Nothobranchius furzeri: one gene and its partner. Each later gene encodes a partner of the first gene's protein in a complex. Links are inferred from orthologs where the notes say so. Each region holds a gene or a part of one and is shown on either strand. Other genes may lie near its edges.

Evidence for each region. The genes of interacting proteins can lie anywhere in the genome.
Region 2: the proteins of rad1 (region 1) and hus1 are in contact, whole or in part, in a crystal structure (PDB 8GNN), measured with the Homo sapiens proteins. The link is inferred for Nothobranchius furzeri from reciprocal best matches to the Homo sapiens genes RAD1 and HUS1. Residues at the interface, in NP_002844.1 of Homo sapiens: Asn85, Val88, Asp91, Cys92, Ser94, Ile95, Phe96, Gly97, Ser98, Gly127, Val128, Val129, Thr130, Val131, Cys132, Lys133, Ile134, Asn135, Gln137; in NP_004498.1 of Homo sapiens: Thr165, Ser168, Val169, Lys172, Met173, Asn175, Ile176, Glu197, Leu198, Val199, Cys200, Val201, Thr202, Thr203, His204, Phe205, Lys206.

The regions. Positions count from the first base shown.
Region 1 is NC_091746.1:58,354,892-58,358,978, forward strand, and holds the start of rad1 (cell cycle checkpoint protein RAD1), read left to right. Parts: upstream 1-1,286; 5' UTR 1,287-1,376; intron 1,377-2,037; 5' UTR 2,038-2,044; coding exon 2,045-2,239; intron 2,240-2,358; coding exon 2,359-2,467; intron 2,468-2,549; coding exon 2,550-2,707; intron 2,708-2,847; coding exon 2,848-2,948; intron 2,949-3,110; coding exon 3,111-3,209; intron 3,210-4,072; coding exon 4,073-4,087. UniProt on the Homo sapiens protein: Component of the 9-1-1 cell-cycle checkpoint response complex that plays a major role in DNA repair. The 9-1-1 complex is recruited to DNA lesion upon damage by the RAD17-replication factor C (RFC) clamp loader complex.
Region 2 is NC_091747.1:63,761,738-63,765,857, reverse strand, and holds hus1 (checkpoint protein HUS1), read left to right. Parts: upstream 1-1,320; 5' UTR 1,321-1,429; coding exon 1,430-1,481; intron 1,482-1,735; coding exon 1,736-1,863; intron 1,864-2,348; coding exon 2,349-2,525; intron 2,526-2,711; coding exon 2,712-2,819; intron 2,820-2,892; coding exon 2,893-2,967; intron 2,968-3,263; coding exon 3,264-3,363; intron 3,364-3,453; coding exon 3,454-3,588; intron 3,589-3,767; coding exon 3,768-3,850; 3' UTR 3,851-4,083; downstream 4,084-4,120. UniProt on the Homo sapiens protein: Component of the 9-1-1 cell-cycle checkpoint response complex that plays a major role in DNA repair. The 9-1-1 complex is recruited to DNA lesion upon damage by the RAD17-replication factor C (RFC) clamp loader complex.

The DNA.
Region 1 (4,087 bases):
GCTAAAGACCAAAGGTGACAGATCATTTGCTGCTGTGGCCCCCAGACTCTGGAACTCTCTCTCCCTGAGCCTGAGATCAGTGGACTAAGTGGTCTCATTTAAGCAGCAGCTGAAAACGCATTTGTTCAGGCTGCTTTGGCGTGACCTTGGGCTGATTCTTCATCACTACCTTCTCCTCAGTCAACTTTTTCTACCAATTCTGCCTTTCCTGGGATCCACTGATTACCTCTTTCTTATTCATTTTCTTTTTCCTCATAGTTTTGAAATCACATTTTTTTGTCCACATTTCTATATTTTTAAATCTTTTTATTTTTTTTCTTGTGAAACGCATCAAGATTTTTATCTTGAGAGGTGCTATATAAAACTATTCCTTCATTTTCTTCTGACCTGTAGACTTCAAATGTCGTGTATCTGCCCATAACCACTTTGCTGACCACAATCCTACACATTGCGATCCCAAACAGCTGTGTTAAGTTCTAGATAGCTGTGTACATTGACTTTCATTCATCGTTTTGACCGACTATAATATCATGTCACCACTGAAACTCACCTGGTGCTTTTTCTAAATGTACCAACTCATTTAATCTGGGTGCTTCATTTGTACTTATTTATTTTGTTTTTTACATTGTTCAAATATCTTTTAGTTCACTTTGTGAAATGTTATAGTTCCAAATGGGTAGGTATAGGGCTCAGATAAAGGATCACCAAAACTCCCAAGATGCAAACTTTATCAACAAATCTGCAGAACATACCTGAAATTAAACCAACTGAGACTGAAATACTGGGAAACTTTCAATTCAATGTGGCTAAAATAAACAAATACTAATAAAAATAAACCTCTATGCAGTTTTAGGTTTGTTACATGTATGTTTGTAACAGTAAGAGCAGAATGCAAAGTCACATGTAAGTTTCTGACATGCGCACAATCTTTAACCACCAGACAATCATTTTCTAAAACCAGACCAAAATAATCAGTTATACCTATTCAACTAAACAACTAATTTAGGGTTAAGTCAGTGTTTTCCATTACACACATACAGCCCTGAGACTGATTAGCCACCACTAACTTCCGGTTAACGTTTGCTAACCGGCAAACATAAGAAACCTAAATATTACACGGCAATATCACTATGACAAATACATTTAATTTACAAAATATTACCTCAAGATACCAAGCGGACAAAACAACCGTGTTGTCACGTAATTTCTTAGCGAATGTTGCCTTTCCCGATTATTTCCTTACTCCGAAAGCTCTGGAACAAGACGTACCAACCAACATTAATGCCACTTCCGGGGAAGTAGATGACGTAGCGGAAGTTGTTCGAAGCTCGGCGCTTTTCTTCAAAGCGCCCCATCTGCTTTGGTATCTAATTTTTGTGAGTGACTTACATCTTTGGTAATAGTTTTAAATGTCATTTACGGAAAACTCTTAATAGTGAAAAACATCTACCGGAAGTCGCAGCGTCTCTTTTATTTACAGCTTCCGTGTTAATTTTGTTGTTGCTCGGCTAGCTACGTTCTATGTGCGTAGATGCTTTTGTAAAGCACCCAGGAATTAACACACTTGAAGTGAAACCTACATGTTACTTGTCTGCATTTTGATTCGCGATGTAAAAAACTGTTTATGTATTTACATGGAAAAGACCTGCCAGGAAACGCCAAAAGACAGTAGAGTGGCAGGAATTTGTTTTTCTTTCAGCTGTATTCCTTTACAAGACTCAGCTGAAAGAAAAACACTCAAAAACATAAGATGGGCAAATTATTATAAAGATACTACATTCAGAACAAAATACAGAGTCAAAGAAAATTAAAATATTATGACTTGTGTCCCTAAATGACCAGACATCACAGGAGACACAAAAACAATCTGGTGCAAAACACCTGCAAACTGTAACATTAGCTGTGTGTGTCCCCTGCTGTCCTGAAAGTAGCATGGCCTGGCCTGTTTTTGCTTGTTGACATGGCAAGTTCTGATAAATAAAATATAATTTTATGATAATATAACTGTTTTTTTGAACTCTTATCTTTTTATTTCAGTTCTGCAATGCCTCTGTCCACACAATCTCAAGGTGAAGATGAGCAATACATTTTAGTGACCAGTTTAGATAATGCCCGCAATCTCTCCAATTTACTGAAAGCGATCAGCTTTAAGGACCATGCTGTTTTCACCACAACACCCAACGGCCTGAAAGTCACCGTCGAGGACTGCAAATGTGTGCAGGCAAATGCTTTCATTCAGGTGTGTTTGGTGCTTTTTAAAAAGTTAGTATATTTTTAAAAGAAATCTTTACTTTTAGAATGAATCCCAAATAAATGACAGTTTGCTTGAAACCCTAAACAAAAGTTGTATCTCTTTAGGCAGACATTTTCCAAGAGTTCACCATAAAAGAAGATTTGATCACTTTCCAAGTTAACCTCACAGTTCTGCTCGACTGCCTGAACATCTTTGGGGGAAGCACTTCAGCAGGTCAAATCAGAAACTGAAACTCTATTCCAAACACCTGATGTACAGTTTTAAATGTTTATTTAACCATTTTATAAAATTGCAGGAATTTCAACAGCCTTGCGGATGTGTTACAAAGGGTACGGATACCCCCTGACATTATTCCTGGAGGAGGGTGGTGTAGTCACAGTCTGCAAGATTAACACTGAAGAACCAGAAGAACCGATCGATTTTGATTTTTGCAGCAGCAATGTCACGAACAAGGTTCAATCCTCTGTGAAATCTGTTGAAAAATAAGATAAAGAAAATAATATATTAGTCATTATGTAAAGAAATGTGCTATCCTTCATTAAATCACACCTGTAAAAACACTAAAGCATTTTTAATCTGGTGTAATTTTAAAGGTGATCCTGCAGTCGGAGAGTTTGAAGGAAGCCTTTTCTGAGCTGGATCTGACCAGTGAGATGCTGCAGATCACCATGTCCCCCAGCCAACCGTACTTCAGGTAGACTGTCCAAATTATACTCAGTATTTACTTCCTGGAGCAATCTTTTGCCAGCATTCCATCCACATCTTCCATCCTTGCCCCTACTAGACTCTTGAGTTTCATTTATCACAGATGCCTCTTTCTGTCTAATGGATGATCTGTTTTTGTCCAACTTTTCAGGCTGTCTACATTTGGGAGTTCTGGAAGTGCCCATTATGATTATTCTAAGGATTCAGATATGATGGAGCTGTTCCGGTGCAAGGAGACACAAACCAACAGGTGAGCGCAGTCAGGCTGTAAAAGTGCTTTTATTACATCAGTGGTGTCTCACGGTGCATGTGAGACACTATCCAGCATGTTTTAGTTGTTTCCAGCTCCAACACACTTAGTTGAATGACTAATCCTTCATTTACTCTGAGTGCAGAACGGGAGCTGTACGCATTCCTGTCAGGAAATTTACAGATCCACCCAGATCCTGATACGGAGTTATTTCCAGATGACACAGATTTTCATGAAGTTAAAGAAATTACATTAGCCAGACAGGAAGTGAGACGTTGGTGAACAAAGTGCATCTGGTATATTTTAAAATAAAATGTGTGTTGCATTGTTTTATGGCGTTTTTATTATTATCAACAGGAAAACCAGTACACAGTATAGAATAGCTCGTGTTAAATTTACAGGTATACATTTGAATGTATTGTGTCAGATTTCTTACGTGAGGTTTGGTGCTCTCGCTGGAGCAAATTTCCAGAGGTGTTCTGCTGTTGGTGTACTTGGTCCGTACAGCGGCTGTGTGGAAACCAGATTACATCCGTTCCACACCCGGTGTAAGTCACCCGATTAAAATCAGGTGTGGTAAGGCAGAAGCCTCTGAAGCATGCAGGATGGTGGCCGTCCAGCACCAGGATCAGACATCACTGTTTCACGTAAAAAAGAAAAAAAAAACTGTCACATCACTTTAGGAGGAAGTTCGTTTCCATGTTACTCAGCTCCTGATATTAGACCCTGTAGAGTTCCTGCTTCCTTATGGTGGCTGCAGCAGAGCCACGTTCATTGTCTTTCTTTGCTGCTTTCATGCATCTGTGTGTGACAACAAAAATCTGGTTACGTTTTCTTGCTCTATGTTCCTCCTCCTGTGGCAGATACAAGATGTCCTT
Region 2 (4,120 bases), on another chromosome or scaffold:
AGTCACAGAAAGTTCTTACATAAAACTTTATCTGACTTTGAGCTCCAGGCAGAAACTCTTCAGACTTTTATTTATGATCCCAGAGGTTTTAAAAAAATAAAATGCTTTAAACAGGGCTAGAGTTCATTTGAGTCTCGTCTGATTCTGGTTTAGTTTAATGAATCATAATAGATTTAGTAAATGAATGAAGAACCCAGTGGTTCTGGGAGGAACCCTGCCGCTGCTCCAGAGCTTTAAGGAGCTTAGGAAGGACCTAGACCTGTTTGGTTTCAGGGAAAGTTAAGCTTTTTATTTCTAAAGACCAAAAACAATCAAAACAACACAAGAACAAGGAAAATAGCAGACAGAAAAGGAAAGGTTAGAAAACACAAAACTAAATTTGATTTTATATATTCAGCTAATTTACTTCATCAAACAGCAAATAAAGAGAAGAAATCATGAAAGAAGAAGAAAATATCATTTCTATATTGCCTCTCAAGACAAAAATCACGAGGTGCTTCACAAAAACAAAAAATATAAAAAAGCATTCAGAAAATGTTTAAAAATATATTTAAAATGAGCAAAAAATAGACAAGAAGGGAGATCAGTGGATCCTGAGGAAGGTGGGGTAGGTGGGGAGAGCAGAACAGGAGAGGGTGATGAAGGACACACAAAGCCAGCCTGAACAAGTGAAATAGTGAAATAACTGATGAGCCTCCATACAGAATATCTGTTTATTGGTTTAATCAGTTCAGAGTTGCTGAGATATAAAAGGATTTTATGCTGAAATGAAAACAAATGAAACGGGTTTGTTTTGTCTGTAAATCAGGAGCATAAACAGGATCAGTCCTTTCATTTCGCTTTACTACCCATTCAGAACAAACCCCATTCAGAAAAATTATTTGAGATTTTAAAGTAAAAATAATGTATTATAACATTTATTTGCCTTTAAATTTGGATTTGACCTGCTATCAAATGAGGAAATAAAAAATTTTTGCTCTATTTTCTTCCTTTTTAGCAACTTTTAAAAACATTTTAAGACAAAACAAACTTTTTTTCTCATTTAACTAAAACATATTTAAATTAGCGCCCAAAACTCCTGACTCAGTCCAGAACCTCTGACCCAGGAGGTGGACCCACGGTGGACTGGGTCAGAACCTCTGACCCAGACCAGAACCTCTGACCCAGTCCTCATCTCTTTCTTCCCACCCTCCTGTTCCTGGTCTTTAATTCACTCGAACCTGATTTAAGGTAGAAATTGACTCCTAACTCAAGGGATGATCCAGAACCAACCATGTTTTTATCATTTTAAGTGTCGCCGATTTCTCTGTTAATAGGAACGTTTAACAGAGGAAAGCTGCTGTTTCCGTCGGACCTTTTTAAAGGCGGACACAACAAACTCCCTCCTTTCTCTTCTCTTTAAGTTTAGATTAAAGTTTTTAAAGTCAATATGAAGTTTCGGGGGAAAATCATCGACGTCGCCTGTTTAAACCACTTTAGTCGTGAGTTTTTATAAACGTTTGTCTGGCGGTGCTAACGTGTTAGTAGCTTATGTTAGCCTAACGTGTTAGCTTAACATGTTAGCTCGCTTTCTGTTTTGGTGTTGAGTTCGAATTAAATTATTTGTTATAAAAGCAGTGAATGAAAACCCGTTTATCTTTAAATAAAACATGTTCAGAGTCAGAGAAAACTTTACTATTTAGTCTGAGACGCATTACAGTCGGTCAGTAGTTTTAAAACGTGTTTGTGTCTCCAGGAGTGATCACCACCATCTCTAAGCTGACCAAGACGTGCGTCATGCGGCTGACGCCAGACAACCTGTTCTTTGTTCTGTCCGGTAAAGTGACCAACGGGGGGGTCAGCATGTGGTGTGAGCTGCATCAGGTGAGCTCAGGTGGCTCCTTTAGCCCGGGGGGGGGGGGGGGGGACCAGAACAACAAGACAGCTGTCGGTCTGACATCATGAATGCATCACAGGTGTTGGTAAAGCTGCGGCCCGCGGGCCTTTAGTGGTCCTCCACTTTAGTTCCAGAAGTGTGTTCTTAGTATTCCTCGTGTTTTATTAGCTTTTATTGATCGGTATTGTTATGGTCTGTTGTTGTTGTTGTTTGATTGGTCGTGTTTTAGTCCAGCCTGCGCGGCGCTTTGGGCGGCTCTCGTGTTGTGTTTTAAATGTGCTTTATAAATAAAGTTTCGTACGGTGAGAACATCAGAAAATGTTGAGCTTGACCCAAAGTCAATGGCGCTTTTCCTGGTAACTGAGAACACAAACGCATCACGAGTCAGAACCAGGGGCCTGATGGTACCAGAACATACTGGTATGAGGTCCAGGCCGTGACCGGGCTAATGCCAAGTGCTTCCTCCCTCCAGGCCAACTTCTTCGATGAGTTCCAGATGGAGGGCGTGTCCTCGGAGTTTAATGAGATCTGCTTGGAGGTGACGCCAGAAAACCTGTCCAGAGCCCTGAAGACGGTCCAGAACGCCAAGTCGGTCAAAGTCAAGCTGACCAAGAAGCACTGTCCCTGTCTGACTGTCGCCGCCGAGCTGGTGAGACAGGCCGAGGACCACGGACTCTGGTTCTGCTGCGCTGGCTCCATAAATGTTCTGATTCTCATATAAATCATCTCCAGAATGTTGAAGGTTCTGGTTTAGAGGTTCAGATGCAGCATACTGGTTCTGAGTTAGTCTAATCGGGCTCAGTTCATGACCCTGATCTCCCTCTGACCCGTCCAGCCCTCCCTGTCCAGCAACAGTCGGGTCGTTACCCACGACGTTCCGGTTGAAGTCGTTCCCCGGAGTCTCTGGCACGAGTTTAAAGAACCAAGCATGCCGGACTTCGACGTGAGCTTGATTTGAATCTTTGTTAAAGTTTTGGGTTCCTGAAGCGGGCCCGTCTCACTGCTTGTCTCTGCAGGTGAGCATCTACCTGCCGCCTCTGAAGACCATGAAGAACGTCGTCGACAGGATGAAGAACCTCTCCAACTTCCTGGTAGGATCAGTTCCCAGATGAGGAACTTTAACGGCCACCAGGTGGCGCTGTTGGGCCAGAACCCGTCAGTTCTGCAGCGATTTAAGAATATAATCTTTCATTCAGTTAACACTCAACAAAGGTGAAGATGTTTGAGTCAGCCAACAGAGAAACTGATCTGCAGCCTACGAGTAATTCTGTCAATGAGACTCGTTAGTTTAACTAGTTCCTGGTTAAAAATCCGAGTTAAACTTCCTGAAAGCCACATCAGGAGAGCTTAAGCTGCCGGTTTGATGCAGATTAACGTTTAACTCCAGGTGATGGAGGCCAATCTGAGCGGAGAGATGAACCTGAAGATCGAGACCGACCTGGTTTCTGTCACCACTCACTTCAAAGACCTGGGGAACCCTTCATGGGGTAAAACATCTGGACCCATCCGCCTACCGGTTCCTCAGATTAACCCCAACGTGGTGGAGGTCACCAGAATGACTCCTCATGTCTCCACAGGAGACGCCGCGTCGCAGGATGGCGGCGCGTCTCAGAGCAGGGACCCAGAGGCCATGGCGGAGGTCCGGGTGGACATCAGGAAGCTGCAGCAGTTCCTCGTGGGTCAGCAGGTCAACCCCAGCAAAGCCATGTGCAGTGAGTTGAGTCTTAAAGCAGTTAGAGCCAGAGGAGACCCCGCCCGGTGCTCCTTACAGGACTGATCAGATCCTAGCGAACCCAGCATGTGATCATGTCTAAAACCAGATTATTTCTGACTAGAAACTCAGATTACAGAAGCGTGTGATAATCTGAGTTCAGGTTTCTGGTCTCCTCAGACATCGTCCATCAGAGCGTGGTCCACCTGATCCTGCTGCACGATGACGTCTCTCTGCAGTATTTCATTCCTGCTGTGGCCTGAAGCTCCTGCAGGCTTCTGTGGAGTTTCAGTTGGGAGACAAAAACCGGCTGGAACCAGTTTCTCTGAGCTGGTCCTGTTGGTGACGTGAAGAGCCAATCAGCAGACAGGAATGGCTCTCCGTGGGTTTTCTGTGTTTAATAGTAATTCCGATTCCTGCCGAGATGACGGGAAAACTCACATTTACACGAGTTTGTTGGATCAACGTCTGATTAAATAAAACTTGTTTACAGTTTTGTGTTTTTATTACATTTATTTTTATTTTAGAGCTAA